Linked DNA regions of Caenorhabditis elegans. The protein of the gene in region 1 interacts with the protein of each later gene in a pairwise test. Each region holds a gene or a part of one and is shown on either strand. Other genes may lie near its edges.

The links. Proteins that work in one complex are often made in the same cells at the same time.
Region 2: the proteins of nhr-6 (region 1) and Y53G8B.1 interact in a two-hybrid assay, tested with the Caenorhabditis elegans proteins (one large-scale study listed by BioGRID).
Region 3: the proteins of nhr-6 (region 1) and F33H2.6 interact in a two-hybrid assay, tested with the Caenorhabditis elegans proteins (one large-scale study listed by BioGRID).

Annotation. Positions count from the first base shown.
Region 1 is NC_003281.10:3,570,505-3,580,099, forward strand, and holds nhr-6 (Nuclear hormone receptor family member nhr-6), read left to right. Parts: upstream 1-3,076; 5' UTR 3,077-3,194; coding exon 3,195-3,236; intron 3,237-3,346; exon of another isoform or gene 3,347-3,353; coding exon 3,354-3,419; intron 3,420-3,643; coding exon 3,644-3,746; intron 3,747-3,789; coding exon 3,790-3,872; intron 3,873-5,687; coding exon 5,688-5,765; intron 5,766-5,812; coding exon 5,813-5,964; intron 5,965-6,104; coding exon 6,105-6,299; intron 6,300-6,365; coding exon 6,366-6,655; intron 6,656-6,700; coding exon 6,701-6,858; intron 6,859-6,905; coding exon 6,906-7,266; intron 7,267-7,343; coding exon 7,344-7,465; intron 7,466-7,676; coding exon 7,677-7,886; 3' UTR 7,887-8,267; downstream 8,268-9,595. Other genes in the region: C48D5.3 (TIL domain-containing protein), read right to left, coding at 8,378-8,520. UniProt on the Caenorhabditis elegans protein: Transcriptional activator that induces gene expression by binding to the NGFI-B response element (NBRE) 5'-AAAGGTCA-3'. Required for proper morphogenesis of the spermatheca and the spermatheca-uterine valve formation.
Region 2 is NC_003281.10:3,127,339-3,133,276, reverse strand, and holds Y53G8B.1 (maleylacetoacetate isomerase), read right to left. Parts: upstream 4,001-5,938; 5' UTR 3,933-4,000; coding exon 3,869-3,932; intron 3,375-3,868; coding exon 3,310-3,374; intron 3,264-3,309; coding exon 3,090-3,263; intron 2,927-3,089; coding exon 2,846-2,926; intron 2,412-2,845; coding exon 2,272-2,411; intron 2,219-2,271; coding exon 2,101-2,218; 3' UTR 1,628-2,100; downstream 1-1,627. Other genes in the region: mec-12 (Detyrosinated tubulin alpha-3 chain), read left to right, coding at 1,248-1,544.
Region 3 is NC_003279.8:15,013,227-15,018,479, reverse strand, and holds F33H2.6 (Regulator of microtubule dynamics protein 1), read left to right. Parts: upstream 1-1,884; 5' UTR 1,885-1,900; coding exon 1,901-2,169; intron 2,170-2,228; coding exon 2,229-2,405; intron 2,406-2,561; coding exon 2,562-2,698; intron 2,699-3,059; coding exon 3,060-3,190; intron 3,191-3,366; coding exon 3,367-3,558; 3' UTR 3,559-3,626; downstream 3,627-5,253. Other genes in the region: dog-1 (Helicase ATP-binding domain-containing protein), read left to right, coding at 779-1,007; pole-1 (DNA polymerase epsilon catalytic subunit), read left to right, coding at 4,606-4,646, 4,691-5,253.

The DNA of each region.
Region 1 (9,595 bases):
TAACCATGCAAAATCAATTTAGAACTCTGCGTCTCTCCTCCCGCATTTTTTGTAGATCTACGTAGATCAATCCAAAATGAGACACGTGTAATCCATGTACCGCGACCTTCAAATTTCTAGCAACCTGTATAACCAAACGTATGCGATATTAATAACACTGACGTCTTTTTTTGTGATGCAAAATAAAAATCATCATTCCTCCTATCACGTTCAAACTCGATATTTTTGTCCGAAAAACGAAAAAAGGTCAGTGAGTCTTTATCAGTAGTATTGTAATTGTTTCCGAATTCGGAAGATCATTTGATGTCATGAAACGTAGTTTTGAAACAGTCTCGATGAATGCATTCAGTTGAGGTGTGTTTTGTGCCAAATTCTAGGTATAAACTAAAGTTATAGATTTCTCAGCTAAAATTAAAGGCAGACTAGTAGTGTAATTCTTTAGATGTTTTAATCCCCTTACGAAAGCCCAAATAGGAGGGAATTTCACGAAAGTGCCGCACTTTCAGTGTGGCCAAGTTTTGACCTAGCATTCTGAAAATAATCTAACAAATAGTTTTTACTAGTCTATAGGGCCCTGCGGTAATTCATGGAACACTGATGTGCGTTCATTTAGCATGCTTCTTTTTGATTTTTAAATTCTAATTCGAGTTAGCAGCTAATTTACCACGTGATGTCAGGCTGTCTCATTACGGTTTGATCTACAAAAAATGCGGTGTTTTCTCTCAAAAAAAAAAGTGACACTCTAGAGATTCCCACAATTCTCGTAGATCAAACCAAGATTTACAAGTTGTTGACTACTTGCTGCACCCAGGAGGTCTATAACTATAACTCATCTCTTATCAATAGATCAAAACGTTCAACTCACCTTCCACAGTCCAGTTCAAACTACACAATGACATATGAATTGGGGGGGTCAACTGTTTCCTGTAGATTCCTACATACTTCAGTTTCATTGATAAGAAGCACTTCGTCACCGAGTGTGGGCGATGTTTACGTCAGAGTGCTGGACAGTATCAAAATTAGTCACTAGAGCTGGAACAATGACTTAGTTCTGAGCTATTACTCACTTATGAGACACATGCACCGTCGCCTTCGCCGTCTCTCGAACCTAGTGGCTTTGATCTCTGATAGAGCTTCACGCTTTGGAGTAAACTATCTACAGACTCCCGGTGCATTGTGTGTCTTTGATCGTGTTATCATTCGTCTCCGTACAAGCGTTTATCAGTGGTTTCTTGCTTTTTACAAGCACTTCATCACGTCACTTTATTTTATTTGTTTCGTAGGTAAAAGGGGTGGGGAAATGGGACGAAAACCGTTTTAAAGCGGAGGTTTTCAGATTTTGAGTCAGTTTTTCTTGACCTTCTTGGCGAAAAATTTCTAATTTTATAATACATTTGGGGGTTAGCGAGCCTGCTTCCAAAAAGTATGAGAGCAAAGGATAGGTCTACAAAATTGCCCCATCTAACTTTTTTCGTTTAAAATTAGTGTAAACTATAGAAAATGATGTACCTGATTATTCGAAAATAACAAATATTTTAGCTGAAACATATTAGAAAATTCTCAAAAATAACCTGGAAATTGCCATTCATCCATTATCGAATTGTCTAGCAATTGACAACTTCTAGGCTATTTTGAGCATTTATTCAAATGTTTTAGCTCAAATAAATGCTATTTTCAAATTAATCAAATAATCAAATCAAAATATTTTGGTCTCATTGCACCTGGTGCAATAGGACATTTTTTAGAATTAACGCCCCTCATTTCTCTCAAAAACCGATTCCTCGAAAAAAATTTCCTAACTCAAATTTTATCTACAGTCTTATGCAACAGTGCATTGCGAAAGATTTCCTAATGCTCCCACAAACCGCAAAATTTTTTCTCAACATGTACGTTTTTCTTGTAATTTACAGCTTCCTTCCTACTATTTAGCATATTTTTCCAAATATGTTTTCTGATACGCCTTGTTACTCACAGGAGCTAGAACTAGATAGACAAACCAATTAGAACATCCCCCCGGAGGTTTGTATGTTTTTCGGAAAATGATCCATTGTTCAGATCAGTTATGATGTGTCGTGAGATGGGCGGGAGGAAGTGATATCATAAGTTCCCTTTACGGTTTCTGGTATATAATAATGCTCATTTAGTCGTAGAAATTTATTGTTCCGACTGTTCCGGAAAGATAATTTTTCTGTAGATCATTTATGCAAAAAATATTTTTCACTTTTGCATTAGTTTTTGCGTAGCACCCAATTTACCGAACAACTCTCCTTATCATGAAAATGCCCTTGAAATGACTAAATAATTTCACCGGTGCACATACTTTCTATTTTTTCCTTTTTTTCCATTGTCTAGAGCAGCAGCTGACGCAATTTTCCGACCTTTTCACACTTCCCACTCTGCATGCATTTTTGGATTTAAATTGTCTACGTACAAAATATCTTGCACCTGTGATGAAGTCACAAACTAGCTCAGAGATTAATTAGCTCTAGACATAGATGCTAACTGATGGGTTTGCAAGTACCTATGCCTACCTGCGTGCCTTCAACTCCCCTAATGCAGATAACAGTAGCCGTAGGTCAGTTGTAGGCACGGCAGCAGGCATAGAAGTTAACTGTTACAGTAACCACTCACCTGTACATTGGGATCTCCTCATTGATTTTGAGAGCTGACCTACATAGTATATCGAAGCGATTCGATCGCTAAACTCTGAGCTCACAGAATTGGAAACAATGAAAAAAAGGCTGATTCTGCTTTTAGAGTGACCACTTCTAATTTTAGCCGGCCCGGTGGTGTCGTCAAAATTCCTTTCCTGAAATTACGTAGATAATCAAGGCGCGGGCAGGTGAATATTCCATTCAAGACGGGCAAGAACACATGTTGTTGACTTTTTTAGTGTTGCTGCTCGATCAGTTGTCACAGTGTCAAATCACCTGCACATGTGCATTTTTAGGTGCTTCTGATGACGCGCCACGAGCTGCTACTCCGCCTTCTCAATTGTTTGACACTATATAATTCCCGATCGTCTCTCTCTCTCTCCCACTCACCCAATCTGAAAATTCGTTAAAATTCTGAACATTTTCAGATTGACCACTACTAGAGCTCTTCTCTCACTTCTTCTTCATCTTTCTTCATTCAAATCTTACAACTCCTTATATCGACCGCTCATTAATCGGATGCGCGGTCTGTCCGACTGAATGGAACAACTTAGTATTCAAACGGACGAGTTGCAAGATCAGGTACCCTAACCTATTTCTTTTTTTTTTTGAGTAGGCGAACTGGCAGGTGTACCAGAAAAACTGTTAAAGTTCGGTGGAAAAGATATGTGGTAAATTCTATATGTGGTAAATTTTCAGTTTTCCAACTGCTCGCCAGCTTCTGTCGATAGTAGCTACTCATCCTGCTCCAGCGTGGAGGACGAAGTAAGTATTCTTATTCTCATCTTCTGGAAGCCTAAACAAGATTGGGCTTATGCTTAGGATTCGGCTTAGGATTAGGCTTGGGCTTAAGAATTATAGAAAAAAAAATACAAAAATTGCACAATCCCAAAAAAACAGAAAACTCAAAAATCATGTGCCCAGAAACAACGGAAAATGAGATATTACAAAATCTGGCAAAAACTTTAATTTAAATTTTATTTTTTAAGATCGAAATCTACACACGCCTCGTGCGTAACGAAGAACCTCTGCGAAGGGACTTCTTCCGCGAGATGTCGAAAAACTCTTCGTGCTCCTCATCATTCGACTACGGTAATTCACAAAATTTCCATTTCTTCCTAATTATTGGTTTCAGGAGAGTTTGGACCATCTTCCTCGTCTCGCAAAGGCTCCAAAACCACCGATGCCGACCTCGACAGCCTTTTCCATTCTCTTGTGGTGAGCTCTTTTTCCAAGAACTTTTTTAAGATTCCCATGAAACCTTTTTTTTCAAATCTGTGGGAGAAAATTGGTATAATCCTTTTCTGAGCTATAATTTTTTTGAACTTTTTTCCGGCGGTAAAAAAAGGTGTGAGTGGGAACATGTGAATAATATCACCCGACTCCTCGTTTCCCACTTCATTTCAAACTTGGCATCCCCTCTCAACACAGTCATTGTTTCCTGTCGAATCACCCTGCACTTTCCCAACACATTTCGTGCCCGCTTATTAGAAAGATAATTGGATAGGTGAGATCACTTGTAGAGAGAGCCACGAGTGGTGTTGGTTGGAGAGAAATATTTCTCGTTTCAAATTCATTCTACAACTTTTCCACCCAACTAGTAGTAGTCTTTCTCTTTCTTTTTTTTTGGGTGTTGGCGCAATGGTATTTGCCATTAGTCATAGAGACAGTAGCAGCAGGGGTGGGACCCCTAATGCTAACAAGTCACTTGTACCAAAATGTCATTCATTTATTAGTAGTGTTTCTTTTGATGTTGCTGCTTTCTTTTTTGGCTACTGTAAAAAGTAGACCATTTTAGAAAATTTGGCAAGTTGTTTAGAAGTTTTTGGAAGTCGACTATTTTTTTTCACTCAAAATCAATGTTTCAACCTCTAAAAAATTTGAATTCTAGAAACTTTTTAAAAAAATTCTAATTTTTCCCACTGCTCAAAATTTATGAGAGTCTAGAAATGTAAAAAAATGTATCAAAAATCCCAAAAAAAAAACTAGAGTAGCCCCCCACAAAAATGGCTCCGAGTTTCTGAATTTAGACCCAACTTTTCATTGAAAATTACTGTCAAAATCAGGAATATATGCATATTGATTTATCTGAAAATCAGATTTTGCCCACTTGAACCATTGGAAAAAATGCTCGAAAATGGCCTTTTCAACAAGTATGATTTTTGATATTTTTGACCCATTTTTAGCATTTCTCAATAAAATCGCCCTGCATTTTTAAGGCTTTAGAACGTTTTTGGAGCTCTCGAGATAATTTCTTTATTTCTAGTTTGCTTAGCCATGTAGGCGGTAATTTTTCGAGGACTACAACAAATATTTTCAGCCCACAGGCTCTGCGTCATTTTAGACCAGAGAAGAGTACAAAAAGTTTAGCTCTCATAGCTCTTTTCTTGTTTTCTGCTCCAAAAAAACTCTTAACTTCCTCACATAAACAGTCCGAAAACCCGAAAAATATTTAAATGCTGGCTTAACCTTCAGTTTTGCTCAAACACATACACCCACTATCATCCGGCTAATTGATAGATACACGTGCCATTTGGCTCCCCCTTCAGTCCTCTGTGTCCACACCAAAATTTGGCATGAAACACCCCGCAATTTGTCGTCTTTCTTCTTCCTTTCATCCATCTCGAAAACTCTTTACTTTCGATTTTGATTTGATGGTCTCTCTGGGAAACCTGTTTCTATTATATCCTCAAAGTGTCACCTCTCATTCTTTTTTGGCTTCTGTCAGCGACGTCGTCATCACTCTTAGGTGGTCTCGGGGCGTGGACTGACATAATTCCTCGTGTATGCTCTTTTGTCGCAGCTAATGCTCAGGGCTCTGGACTCCGCCCCTTGAAATTTTCCTGGGCAGCCGCCTAATCAGCTGTTTGATAGAAGCGCACTTTTCATATATTCATACTTACTTCCCCCCTGCACCCTACAGTTATGATGAGCAAACGGACAGCTAGCAAAATTGACAAGCCTGTGGTCAGGCTCGGAGATGATCTTAGCGGACTTATGGGCTTTATAAAGTCTGAAATTGAAAGTTTGCAGGAGACAAGCGATCAGGTGAACACTGTACCAAAGCCCACGAAAACCGAAGTCGAGAGTATCCCCGAAGAATTCGAGCAGGTAAGAGCTTCATTCTGCACACAATTATAAACTTTTAATAATTTCAGAAACCATCCTCCTCCAGTCACCGTTTACCATCCGAAATGAACGCCTCAATCACCCATATCAAAAGTGAACTTGACCCAACTATGCAAGCATTTCAAATGCCACACAACGATCTTTTCCTGGCAACCGCCGCACCGCATTACAATCCATTCGCGTAAGTGTCGTCACAGATAACCACGTGTGAATTACTTTTGCTTCGTGTTTTCTACGTAGTACATCGAGCCGAGGATTAACCTCCATTGAGAGCATAAGCTGGTGCTTCCACGAGAGGATTTCTATTGTTTCTTCTTACAGACTTTCGAATGATTTCATGCCGAATCCCTTGATGCCTTCATTCACATCTCCATTCTATCCTCAACACTTTCCGGTATCGGATTCCAGGCGTGGAAGTCAGGGGACAACGAGCTCGTCGAACAATACCGGCGGAACACCATCGCCTCATTCAAGCTCTCTGCCAACGTCACCCCCGCAGTTGCAAGGCTTCTTAAGGTTCGTTTTTGAAATTTGAAATTTGATATTTTAAATTTGAAATTAAAAAAAAAAGAAAACTTTCAGATCCTTCCTCAACCCCGACAACCTCTCCACACCAACCTCATTCGGTGTCCCATCGGAAACAGCTCTTGACGCTGACAAAATGTGCGCTGTGTGCAATGATCGAGCTGTTTGCCTGCACTATGGAGCCAGAACTTGCGAAGGATGCAAAGGATTCTTCAAGCGAACTGTGCAGAAGAACTCCAAATACACTTGCGCTGGTAACAAGACCTGCCCAATCGACAAGCGATACCGTAGTCGGTGCCAGTACTGTCGCTATCAAAAGTGTTTGGAAGTCGGCATGGTCAAAGAAAGTAGGTGTACCCTTTGGGAAATGTTCATTATTTGTGATATTTCAGTTGTTCGACATGGTTCTCTATCGGGGAGACGTGGACGTTTGTCGTCAAAGACGAAGTTGGCAAGATCAGAGGATCAACCATCTCCACCGCTTCCTCTTCTAGCTTTGATGGGAAAAGCAATTGAAGATCATACAAATATGACTGTTGTCCGGCAATTTGTAAGTCGGAAATTTAGCATTTCTTTTGGAAAATGTTTATCATTTAGATGCAACCATTCGATGAGACTATCGCACTGAGAATCCTGCACGGAGAGCTTCATGCCACCAAGAAGCTTCTCATGGCAATGCCACAAATTTCCGAGATTCAGCCAGCCGACTTCCAGATCCTCCTCAGCAGATCTTTCTTCGCAATCATGGCAATCCGCGTGGCAAACCGATGTGGCAACAGCACCGACACAATTATGTTCGAGTCTGGAGAGCTTTTCTCGTTGAACGCGTTCCCTGCCTGCTTCCAACAAATCATTCGATTCATGGTTGACAAAGCACGAACCTTCAGCTCATTGGTTGACTGGGAGCCTCAGGCATTCGCCGCCTTTATTGCTCTTCAATTTTTGGCTGGAAACACAGGTGTGTAGAATTTAAACCCTAAAAAGCTTCAGCAAAGTTTATCTACTCCTCATTTCATAATTTCAAAATTTTTTCAGAACATAACGTACTTGGATTGACCAACAAACCTCTCGTCGACCAGGTTCAAAGTACCATCATCAATGCTCTCAAGGATCATTGCAGCGGATCTCAGAACAAATTGGCCAAGATCGTTAGATTGGTAAGTTTGTCATTTTCAACGTGTGACGTAGAATCTAGCGGGGAAGCCTTGTAACACGCTTTGAGGGCAAAATTTGCACGCTTCTAATGCTAATCCATGTCTGCCAGGAAGCAAAATTTTTATTTTTTATTGAGGGTTGCACTGAGAGCAAGTATTCCAGACTGACATGCAAGTAGGATGTCTAGTATAACACTAACTATTCAATTTTCAGACCCAAGAATTCGATGTATTCCATGCTCTTGGACTCCAGGCCCTGGACATTCTCTATCCATCACACCAGCTTCCAGAAGAGTTCATGTTCCTTATCAATCTTACACGTGCTCCATTACGATCTACGGATGCACCGCCAGCTTGTGGAAGCCCAGTTGCCCCATCTGGAAGTTCACTTTTTAACTTCCAAATGGGCCCGGCTGCCTTTTAAAATTTTTTAAATGTTTAAAATTTTAAAAATTTAAAATTAATATATTTTTCAAAATCGCTAGCCCCATTGAATTGCATATCGCAAAGATTTCTAATTTATTTTGTTTCCCCACTACTGTCTCAAACAAAAAATCACTTCCAGAAAAATTTCAAATAACTTGTTACCGGTACTTTCCCAACAATTTTTGCTCCTTGAACCTCAAATCTCTCAGAATTTGTCCCCCCATTCGGTTTTTATTTTATGAAAAGCCTCTAGTTTTTGTGTGAATTCCAATCCCCGAATATCAATTTTGTTTTGTTTCAATTTTCAGAGTTTATTTATTTTAACTGATATTTCTTGAAATTATTGTATAGAAAAAGAAAACCATAAATTATATATTTTTACATTGTTTCATTTTATTACAAAGCACCGGAGAGAGAGGGACAAGAATACTGTGGGGAAGGGGTATACTGAAGTTTAGAGAGCAATTCCTGGAGAAAAAGGTCTGAAGCTTAACAAAAATTATTTCGCATTTGTCGTTTGTTACGTCTCATGTACTGGAACGCGGTTTTCAGATCGGTTTTCAGCTCGCAGCGGCTGAATCCACGGTCGTCAATGATGGGCTCCGGATGAGCAAAGTCTGGGCACTTCTTCCCTGAAATTTGAAGGTTTTTCGAAGTGAAGAAGGCATGTGTCCCCTCAAATAGAAGTGTGTGACGTCACACGTTTTAAGGGGCATTGACCTACTGTATCATAATTTACGCGCAAAGTTTCTGTTCTGGACTGTGCTGAACTTGGTTGAACCGCGGAACCCGCGAAACGTCCGTGCAAGAACAATCGGGACATTATTTCCTTTTAATATTAAAGTTTTCAAAATGTTAGGGTTCGCCTCAAACTGTTCTGTGTGACGTCACGGGTTGGCCAAAAGCGTCAACTTTGAACACAAGTTTCTAGTATAAATTTTAGTTCAAAGATAATTGGAAATTATTTTAAGGTGAAAAAGAAATGTGGTAAGAATACTAAATCACCTATTGAATTAATTATAGCTGCAGAAGATCACTGAAATTTTCACGACAGCTGATAATATTTGTTGAAATGCCAGGGAAAGGTTACCTAAAGTTTGTCGGCTTTTTACGCAAATGACAGGAAAATGAATGAAATTTTTGAAATCGCGGGGGTTTTTTGTTGCAGCCGACGTTTTACGGGCACTTTGAGAGGATTCCTAGAAAACATTTTGTTGCAAAATTGTATACTCTGAAATAATGTTACGGGAATAATCCCTTCATTACACTTTTTGTACCTTAAACCTATTCTATGTCTGATCTTTATAATAGCATTACAACGTCTGCACCTATACACTTAATCTACCACCCAATACAATTCTGATCTGTGACGTTTGCCCTCCCCAACTTTAATCTTCTCTTTTGAAAGCTTTTGTATCTGACAGAGCAGGTTGTTGGTTGAGCATTGGGAAGTGATAACCCGGAAATTTTACCTGTGAAAAATATTTTTTTGGGATCTTTAAGGATAAATGTTGCTGGAAAAAAATGGAAAGATGACCGGAAATGTTGTATAGTTTTTTAAAAATTAATGAAACTTTGAATAATTTTTTTACTATTTTAATTTAGTAAGGCACCTCCTAAAATCAATTTTGAGACATTTTAACGTTCGCAAGTTCAAAAAACTTAAATATACTTTGAAATTTAAAAGGTTTAATCTTATATTACTAG
Region 2 (5,938 bases), 440 kb from region 1:
TAATTTTTACATTTCTCAGATAATTTTCAAAGGACAAAATTAGGTAAAAAAAAATTAGCTAAAATCCTCAAAAACTAACAGAGTTATATGGTTTTGAAATTTTTCCAAAAAATATTAATTGATTATTTTTTCTAGTAATAATTTTTTCATAAAACAATTTTAGATTAATTAATAACAAAATGGGTCAAAAACGCATGCAATTTTAGTCAAAAAATAGCGGAAAATCTCTAAAATGAGTAATGTTATGCTGTTTTAAAATGTTGTCCAAAAAAAAAGCTTTTCAATTTACTCGAAAATTTTCACAGAACAATTTCAGATTATTACATATCAAAGTGCTCCAAATAAATTTCTACAGTTTCAATAAAAATTTAACTGAAAATCTTTAAGTAACAAAGTTCAGGGGTTTCGAGTTTTTAAAAAATGTTCTGTCACCTTTTTTTTGTTGATAATTTTAAAAAGTTTTCAATCTTGAAAATAAATTATTTCTACTTTTAGATTATTAAATATTGATAAAGTATAAATATTTTCTACATTATTTAAAGGTTTTTTTTTTAATTTTCTCCAAAAAAAAAGTTTCACAGAACAATTTTAGATTGCTATGTAGCCTATAGCAAAACCGTCCAAAAATTTGTTTTTTACCTAATTGGCTGAAAATCTTAAATTGGAAGAGAAATTAAAATTACAACATATTTTCAAAAAGAAAAAAAAACAATTTGCCCTCACTTCACTTTTTTCCTTTTTTTTTAATTCTCAAATAATTGTGTCCTTCCAAGAAACAGGAAAACTAATAAAACGTCATTCATGTTTACCCTCTATCATCTTTACCACACATTTCGTCAAAGTAAATTTTAGTTGTGAGAAAAATATTTCGATTTCGAAAAACACTACCTAGAATTGACAAAAATAACACATTTAACTAACTCCCACAAAATATAGCCCATAAAAATTCCTTTATTTTGATAGTTTAACTTTTTTTGTAGCTCTTCTCCCCACGGAGATATGCGCTTCCAAAGTTTAGACAGCGAGAGAGTGTGGGAAGAGGTGAGACGCCGACTGCACGCGCAGTCTGAGTCTCCTCTCACCCCACACTCTTTAGTCACCTTCACCTTGAAACGCTGATATCTTGGCTGGGAAAAGAGATATTTAAAAACTTTTAACTAATGAAATGTTTGAAATTTTAAGGGCTATATTTCAAATATAAAAGTTAATTGATAAAAATACTGTTATAGCTATAATACTGCTTTCAGGTCGGAATCAACTACCAACCACCAACGGTAGTCCCAGGAGGTGACCTGGCAAAGGTACCCCGTGCCGTGTGCATGCTCTCCAACACCACCGCAATCGCTGAAGCCTGGGCTCGTCTGGACCATAAATTCGACCTAATGTATGCGAAGAGAGCATTCGTCCACTGGTATGTTGGTGAAGGAATGGAGGAAGGAGAATTTAGTGAGGCTCGTGAAGATTTGGCTGCTCTTGAGAAGGATTATGAGGAAGTCGGTGTGGACAGTATGGAGGATAATGGAGAAGAAGGAGATGAGTATTAGAATATAAAAATAGATCTTGACCCCAAAAAACTCCCCGCTTTTATGATGTGAATTTCCCCAAACTTTAATTATGCTTTGTCTGCCAATTGCTATGCTTCATTTTCTTGAACTTTTACTATTTTCTTTACTACAACGATCAATAAACTTGTTCCAACGGCCTCCATCTTTCACTTTTCAAAAAACAAATACAAGCAGCTTATAGCCCTTAAAATTCCCTATATTTCGATAGTTGGAAATTCGTTCATAGCTGGTCCCTACACCGAGATATACGCGTTCAAAATTTACAGATGCTAGAGAGTGTGGGGTGAGGGGAGACGCAGTGTGCGCGCGCCGCCTGCGTCTCCCCTCCCCATACACTCTCTTGCTGGCTCTGACTTCGAAGGCGCATATCTCAGCGGGGAGAAGAGCTATTAAAAAGTTTTCAACTAACAAAATATGGGAAATTTCAAGGGCTACATTGTGAGTTAAAAAAAATTTTGCTAGCTGCTATAGTTTTTGACACAGCTGTTTTTATGGAAAAATTCATATTTTTAAGCTATAAAAACATTATCAATTCTCAGTTTTTCGGTGCATCCGGTTGATTGTTGGGATGAGCCACTTGAAACTCTGGCAGCTCCGCTAGCTTATTGGAGATTCGAGTAATTATTGGGTAGGGCGTCATGTCCACGTGGTATCTGGCAATTTTTTTTTGAACAAAAATGTGCTTTTTTAAATAATTTTTCCTTACTTTTCTATAGCATTATACACAATTGATGGAAGACAAATATCAGCGATAGAAATTTGATTTCCGACGCAAAAATCTCCAGAGTGCATTTGCAGGAGCTCTTCGAGAGCCTTGAATCCTTTGCTGATGAAGTGTTGGCACCACTGGAAAAATTCACTTTTTAAAGAATTTTTTATTGATTTCTTGAAGTTAAGAGTATAAAAGGAAAAATTAATTCAATTATCGAATTCAGTGCATTAAGAGCTTAAAAAAGTATAATTATAAAAAGTATTATAAATATATAAAAAGTATAATACACAATAGCTACCGCAACCCTGAGGGGTTTCGTGGCAAGACCCCAATATGGGTATCATCTTGAAGCTCTTGGTGAGCTGAATATAAAATTCGTATTTGAAAATCTAAAAAGTTAGGTCTCGACGAGGAAACTGCGAAGTTTTTTTTTTCAAAAAAAAAAAACAAATTTTTATATAAATTTTTTTGGAATTTTTTTTAGAAATTGCTTTAAATTTTCAGATTTTTAGGAATTTTTTTACACCTACAAATACTAACTACTCTATAAAATTTTTTTTGAACTCACAAAATCCCCATAGCCGGGCTCTTTCTCATTGAGCATCAGGTAGATCGGCTTGTTTTGCAGAGGCTGGATATTTGAGGCGATCTGAAATTTTTCTATTATAGCAAAATCGAGAAATTATTTCTGGTCTCACCGCGAAAACAAACCTACCTATTTTGTGGGGGTCTTGGTGAACTTAATTCGAATTTTAAAAATTTTAATACGAAAATAACACAGTTTAATATGTCTATAAATGCAACAAACATACATGAAAAGCAATAGCTCTCGCGCGAGCTTTGAGCTCGGGCTCTTTCGGCAAAAGTGGTGGGTCTGGGTAGATTTCATCGAGATATTCGATTATTGCCATGCTTTCTGTCAGAGTTAGACCGTTGATTTTCAGAATTGGAACTTTTTCCGCAGGATTGTTCCCATGGAATTCTTGCTGAAAATGGAAAAACTTGGAGTTAGGAGCAAAATTTAAAATTTACCTCTTTCTGTTTGTTCAGCAAGTTCACGGGTTGATATTCATAGTCGATCTTTTTCAGAGCAAGAGCTGAAAAAATTTAAAAAAATCCCATATTTTTTTTTGTCTTCTGAAGTTCAGTTACCTGCTTAGATATAGACCTCAAAAATTCCTATATTTTGTTAGTTAAAATTTTTTCGATAGCTCTTCTCCCCGCTGAGATATGCGCGTTTTAAGTTTAGGCAGCGAGAGAGTGTGGAGGGAGGGGAGACGCAGGTGGCACTAGTTGTCTGCGTCTCTCCCCCTTCCACAATGTTTCTTCACGTCAACTTTAAAGGCGCATAACTCTGCCGAGGAAAGAGGTACGAAAAAGTTGTAAACTGGCAAAATATAGCCCTTAAAATATCCAACATTTTGTTGATTGACAATTTTTGATAACTTCGCACTCTGCAGAGATATGCGCCTTTGAAAATTAGACAGCCTCTGCGTCTCCCCTCCCTCCATACTCTCTCACCTTCTTGACTTTAAAGACGCATAGTTCAACAGTAAATCAGGATTTACAGATTTTTTTTTGGAAAACTCACCAGTTCTAACTCTTGACGAACATCCTGAACTCCAAGAGGAGTACAATATAGGTTTTGCTGCCATTTTCTAAAGAAAGTCAATGTGTTTGTGACAATTTTGGAGAAAAGTGATAGTGATGAATGATAATGAATGATAAAGGTCAATAACATGTTTAGGTGAGAAATCGGTGATGTTTGGTAGCAAAACACAAGGTGTAATGATGTTTTAGGTGTAACTTTGCAATGAAGAAAGTTATCAAAAAAATTGTTGACTATTAAAATATAGCCCTTGAAATTTCCTATATTTTATTGGTTGACAACTTTTTTTTAACATTGATAGAAACAGAGATACAAAGGGCTGAAACTGCACGGGTTGTTGCCTGCGTCGCTCCCCGCCCATTCAGTACTTCTTTTTTCAAACGTTAATATCTCTGCTAGGAAAACTGTTCTAGAAAAGGTGCAAACTGAAAAAATATAGCCCTTGAAATTTCCTATATTTTATTAGTTGACAACTTTTTCTAAGTTTTTTTCCCTGCAGAGATATGTATCTTTGAAAATTTGTAGGTGAAAGAACGCGCAAATTTTTTGATGTCTAACTTGTGCCCAATTTCTTACCACAAAACATATTCTGATTATGTTCTCTGACCTGATGTTTGCTCATATCTTATTTTTTCAAATAATACTGGTTTCTAGTTGGAGGCCCCGAAACGTTAAGAAAAAAAATTTTAGGAAAAAAAAAATTGACTTTGATCATTGCCTCCTTATCAGTTTTAACGTACATTCCATAATTTCTTAACATTTTCTTATCACTAAGTGACTAAGTTTGCTCTGAGAGCACATTTTCAGCTAGCAAACCTACATTTTCTTACAATTTTCCCTCGAAATTGTAATTTCGAAACTCTTAAACGGGTAACAATCGAACAAGAATCAAAATTTTAACCAAATTTTAACAATTCAATGTAGCCCTCAAAATTTCCTATATTCTGTCAGTTAAAAACTTTTTATTTCTCTTCTCTCCGTTGAGATATCCGCCTTTAAAATTGACGCCATAAAATAGTGTAGAAGGGGGAGAGACGGAGACAGCGCGCGCTGCCTGCGTCTCCCCTCCCTCCACACTTTCTCGCTGCCTAAACTTTGAACGTGCATATCTCCGCGGGGAGAAGAGCTATCAAAAAACTTTTAACTAACAAAATATAGGAATTTTAAATGGTTATATTTTGTTAGTTGAAACTTTTTGAAAATCTCTCTTAGATTTTGAGATATTTCGGTTTCAACAAAGAATCACTGAAAATCGCTTTTGGATTTGAAATAAAGCTATTTTGGTTCAGGAAATGAAGCATTTTAGGAGAAAACCGCATGATATATTAGAGGACCACATTTTGATCTTTCAAATATTGCTTCCGGCAGATTTATACATTTTTATATATTTTTGTGGATGATTTCAGGGAGATTCAATTTTTTCCAGTTTTTGTAGATAATTTTAATTGCCCCATTCAAAAATGACTAACCAAACTTCCAAAAAACCAAAAAAAAACAAGAGACGATACGCAGAGTACACTGCGATAACATCTGCGTCGTCGTCTCTCTCCACACATTTTGAGAGACCGAGCGACGAGAGAGTGACAATTTGTGAAGAGAGTGGTGAGACGACGAGACACTATCGAATCGCCACCCCCCACACGGACGTATTATACAAGCAAAAAGCCACGTTTTGAATGGCTTAAATCGATTATAAAGTTGACAAACTGCTTGGTTTTTAGTCTTTTTCTTGAGTTTCTTATCGATTTTAAAGGAAATTTGTGGATTTTTATTGGTTTTTAAACAGAAACTAATAAATGCATTGAATTTTTCACTATTAAATGGCTGAAATTGCTGAAACAAACTTTTCCGCTCGAGACCCATACGATAAAACTGCCCCATGCTCCTTTAAATCCACAGTACCACTTTTTTCTTCTTTTTCTTTGGTTTTCTTGTTTTTTCTGTTTTTTTAAAGAAAAATATAAAATAGATGTTTTCCGATGAGTTTATGAAATAAACCCAATTAAAACTAATAGTTTATCAATTTTTAAGCAAGAGGTTTTTTAAGCTCGC
Region 3 (5,253 bases), on another chromosome or scaffold:
CGTTTTTTTTATTTAAAAAATGTTATGCTATGCTACAAATGTTCAAAACACAGCAATTTTCTACTGTAACACATAATTCTGAAATTTGCGCAACATTTTTGACGCACAAAATATCTCGTAGCGAAGACTACAGTAATCCTTTAAATGACTACCGTAGTGCTTGTGTCGATTTACGGGCTCGATTTTCGAATTTCCTAATCGAATTTTGACAGCAGTATTTAATTTGTCTTTTTTTTTCTGTATTGTTTTGTCATTTTTGTGTTAAAAAAAAATATTTAAATGAAAAACGTCCAATATTGCCTTATAGGAAACTCATACAATCGTATTTTTACATTATTTTCCGTCTATTGCCGGGTTTCACCTGGAAAACCTGCAATAGACGGGAAATAATGTAAAAATACGTTTGTAAATAGGAGTTTCCTCATCAAAATGAAGGCAATATTACACGTTTTTTTCTATTAAAACAGTTGGTTAATGAATAAAATTTTTTTAAGTACAAAAATGACTAAACAATACGAACAACGAAGGAAAATTGAATATCACTGTCCAAATTCGAAAATAAAATCGAGCCCGTAAATCGGCATAAGCGCTACTTTTAAAGAAATACTGTAATTTTCGCTGCGAGATATTTTGCGAGTCAAATATGTTGTAAAATACGCATTCTCAGGATTTAGTGTTCCCGTAATATCAAATCTATAATATCACGTGAAATAAGGGAATCAGTAGAAAAACCATCTGGCCAAATTTCACTACAATCTAAAATTCATTAAATCTTCAGATGTCTCCGGCACAAAAACGACTGGGGAGCAATGCTAATGATCGATGAACGCCTAGAACGTCAAACTGGAAATCTTGTGGGCGGAGCCTCGTCTGCTCGTGTCTCAAAATGGATTCGTGCTCAACTGAAAAGCTATCCGAGTTTTAAAGAATTTAATGCGAATTTTCGCGAATTCATCCAGCGTCGACACGCTGTTGAGAAAGCAAAAAAAGAGAATTTTTGTGAATGAATTAAACTTTTTCTAACTTTTTTTTTTCGATTAAAACCCCCGCCCCTTATCTTTTTTACGTGTAAAATTTATGATTTTTCCTCATTTTCTTAAACAATTTTTAGACGTCTTTTTTAAAAGTTAGAATCTCCCTAATGCATTGTTTTTACCCCTTTTTTCAAATCGATTTTCATAAAGCTTGGCCGAACTTTTTCTCTCTTCTCTCATTATCACTTATCAGTGTTTACCTTTACACCACTTGTACTTTGAACTGTGAAATGCTGACAACATTATAGCGTTCTCAGTAGCCTACGAGAATTTTTCTAAAACTTGCCTGGAACCAGTTTGAACGCAAAATTTTTCCCTTTCGAGTGTTCAAAATTAATTTTCAAATTTTCATTTTGTTCGAAAAAGGTTTTGGCGTATGACTCTTTCCGAATATCTTTGTGAAATTAAAAAAAAACTTCTCGGATTTAATATTTCAGCTTGAAATCTCGCACCCAAAACTTAACGCGCCAGAGGCAGTCTCATTGGGGCGCACCGTGCTGTGTCGATTTACGGGATTTTTCACCATCTGTCATGTTTTTTCAAAAACTTTTTTTTTGGTTATTATTTGGAAAATTGTTTTTTCCGTGTCAATTGAACATTTTATTATATCCAAATCACAACTCGATGAAAATCCGAATTTTCGAAAAAAAAAACGATAAATTTAAGGCTTTTTTAGTTTAAAAAATTTAAAGATATTCGGAATTAGGGGGTTGGAATAATTCAGTGAATGCGTCTTTGAGTATGAGTTTTTTGAAAAATTACCTATGTACTTGGAAAAAGGCCATCGAAATTAATAATATATTTTTGTTTCAATATTTATAATTTATTTAAAATTGTCTAATTTTTGCAGCCTCTGAAGAAAAAAAATGTTCAAACGAGTATTCAATCTCCGTTTTATTTCGAATTTCTCTCGCCGCCCGACATCTTCTCCAAAACTTCCGAAATTAATTGCAATCACTGGTGGAACCTCGCTTGGAATCGCATTTTTTGGAAAAACTGAAGAGAACAAGAATTTGGACTCAGGAAATGGACAATTAATTGATGGAAAACCGAAAAATTTCGATTTAATTGTTCGAAATTCGGATGAACTTTATGATAATTATCTAATCGATAATTGTTATAATATTTTGAAAAAGTGAATTTTCAATTAACTTTTAGAAATGTCCATTTTAACTTTTCTTTCCAATTTTTAAGATTTGAAAATTCCAATTGCTCCGAGCTTCTATGGCGTCTGGCACGTGTGGTTTGTGAGAAAGGAAAACTCTCAAAAGATCAAAATCAACGAAAAGAGCTCATTTTGGAAGCCTATGGAATTGTGAAAAAAGCTCTTGACAATGAGCCAAAGAATGGATGCTTTGGAGCACATAAATGGTACGATTTGGAGTTAAAACGCTATTTATTCCGGGTAGAACAACACAATTTTGCGAGAAAAAAAAACTATGACTGAGGGTGGAAATCGAAAACTGAGCACCTGCCTTTTTTGGCGGCTGAGTTTTAGCATTTTCTATGCCACATGGCTATCTTTAGGTATGCCATTCTACTGGATTACGTTGGAGAGATCGAGGGAAACAAATCGAGAATCGAAAAATCATTCCAAGTGCGGAAACATTTAGAGAAGGCGTTATCGATTTTCGAGAACGATCCAACAACGTGGCATATTTTGGGTAAGGGATTCCGGATTGAACAGAGAAAAAAAAAGAAAAATCATGTTAGAATTTATTCACGTGGAGTCAGACGGTCCCTTTTCGCTTTGATCTACGAAACATGCGGGAGGTGAGACGTAGACATCTCAACTGATTTCGCATGGTTAACAGTGTGCTTACGTCACAAATTTTCTGGGAAAAAATTCCCGCATTTTTTGTAGATCAAACCGCAATGAGACTTTCTGACACCCCGTGTTTATTCCGAATTAAAGCTCTACAGCTCACCGTTCAATCAACGGGGGCGGGCGGTGCTTAACCATTATTTTTTTTAGATATTTCTGCATTTCGCTTCGAGAATTAAAAAGAAAACCTCAAATTTCAGGAGTCTGGCACTTTTCCTTCGCCAATATGGGTTACGCGACTCGAATGGTGGCCAAAGCTATTTTCGCAACTCCACCAGCATCCACATATCAGGAGGCTCTACACTATTTCCTAAAGGCTGAACAGATTTCGGTAAAAAAATATCAGAATTCAAACACTTTTAGTGAATCTCTCATAGTCAATCAAAAACATACAAAAATGAAAAGTTGTCGACCAAATTTTTTTACACTTTGAACATTTTCCTCCACTTGGGAAGTAAATAGTGCCACGAAAAATTCAGATCATTATAGTTAAATTCAAATTTTCAGCCCGGATTCTACAGTACGAATACCTACTACATTGGCGAAGTGTACGAACAACTAGGACAAAAAGCCGAAGCACTTGATGCATTCAAACAATCATTCAAAATGCCAGTTGTGACTTCTGATGACGCGGTTATTCATAAGAAAGCATACGAGAAACTGAAGAAATATGGAGTCAAGGATACTGAAGTTGTTTAGATTGTGAAAAATATGTATTTGTAAGATGATTGTTGTAATTTTTAACAGAATAAAAATATTTATTTGAATTTAATAATTGTCTAATGTCAGCTAAATAATATTGTCGGAAATGAGGCACCACGGTTTCAAGATCTGGTGAAATTCCGGATCTACGTTTTCCGGAAATACGATTTCCGGATCTACGTTTTCCGAATCTAGCACCGTGCCAACCCACAAAACGCTTTTTTATTCACTCGACGCACGTTGTTTTTTGAAAATTTCTTCTAGAAGAAACGCTTAACAACACGCGACGCTTAACAACGGAGCATCGTTGTCACGTTTTTCTCCGAGAAAAATAGCGTTTTAAGAGTTGGCCAGATCCGGAAAACGTAGATCCGGAAATGGTAGATCCGGAAAACGGAGATCCGGAATTTTACCAGATCTTGATACCGTGGTGCGAGGCACCACGTTTTCAAGATCTGTTCAAAAACAAGATCTACGAAAACAAGATCCACCAAAACAAGATCTACGTTTTCAGGATCTGGCACCGTGCCAACTGCGGTTTTCTCGAAGAAAACGAAACAACGATGCTCCGATGTTACGTTCGCGTGTTGTTTAGCGTTCAAACGAATATTTTTTGAAATTTTCTTCTAGAATTTACGCAACACGCGTACGCACGCGTAGAGAAAACCGCAGTTGGCACGGTGCCAGATCCTGAAAACGTAGATCTTGTTTTGGTAGATCTTGAAAAGGTAGATTTTGTTTTGGTGGATCTTGTTTTCGTAGATCTTGTTTTTGAACAAATCTTGAAAACGTGGTGCCTCCGTGGTGCCTCTCGGAAATTCAATTGTATTGCTTTAAAATTCAAATTCTGCTCCTTCCCTCCATTTTATGATCTGGTGGCCTAGAATTCCACCCAACTCGTCCTCTGGCCGAGCGCGCGAAATCTTGCATTTTAAACTCGATTTCCCATGAAATTAACTTAAATTTGCCATTTTATCTAGTTTTTTCTTTAGTTATTTGATTTTCAGTATTTTCAGACAAGTTCGGTCATCGCCAGCAAGCTCAATGAGCTCCAAGGATGACATTCTTGCACAGGCGGTCGAAAAGTTTGTTTCAAGAATGGAGAAAGTATAAAATCTTCTTTTTTTAGTGATTCAAACTACAAAGAGCGGCTTGCCCTGATCAGATCAAATGATGAGATTGATGCGAAGCTTGGTTTCTCTAGATACACAGGACTACAGGAGAAAAAAGGATTTCTGATAAACATCCAACCTTCGGAGCTTGTCGACGAGCAAACCAAAGTTATTATTTCGGTCGTTGACTATTTCTTCATCAGTGATATGGACGAACGCTTCAAAATCAGTTACCCATTTCGACCGTATTTCTATATTGCCACGTTGGATGGATTTGAATTCCAAGTATCCAGTTATCTGTCCAAGAAGTACGGAGCCCAGACAGCAGTTGAACATATGGATCGGGAGGATTTAGATTTGAAAGATCATCTTTCTGGGTTGAAGAAGACATATATCAAACTCTCATTCACCAGCACCGTGGAATTGATAAAAATCCGTAAGGAATTAATGCCGCTGGTGCGGAAAAACACAGATCGCATCAAAAAAGAGTCGGCGTACGCTGACTATTTGGCGAGGAATCTGAGTGGAAAAGGAGGAGATAGTAAGGATCAACAGTTGAATGGTGACATCTTGAATCAAA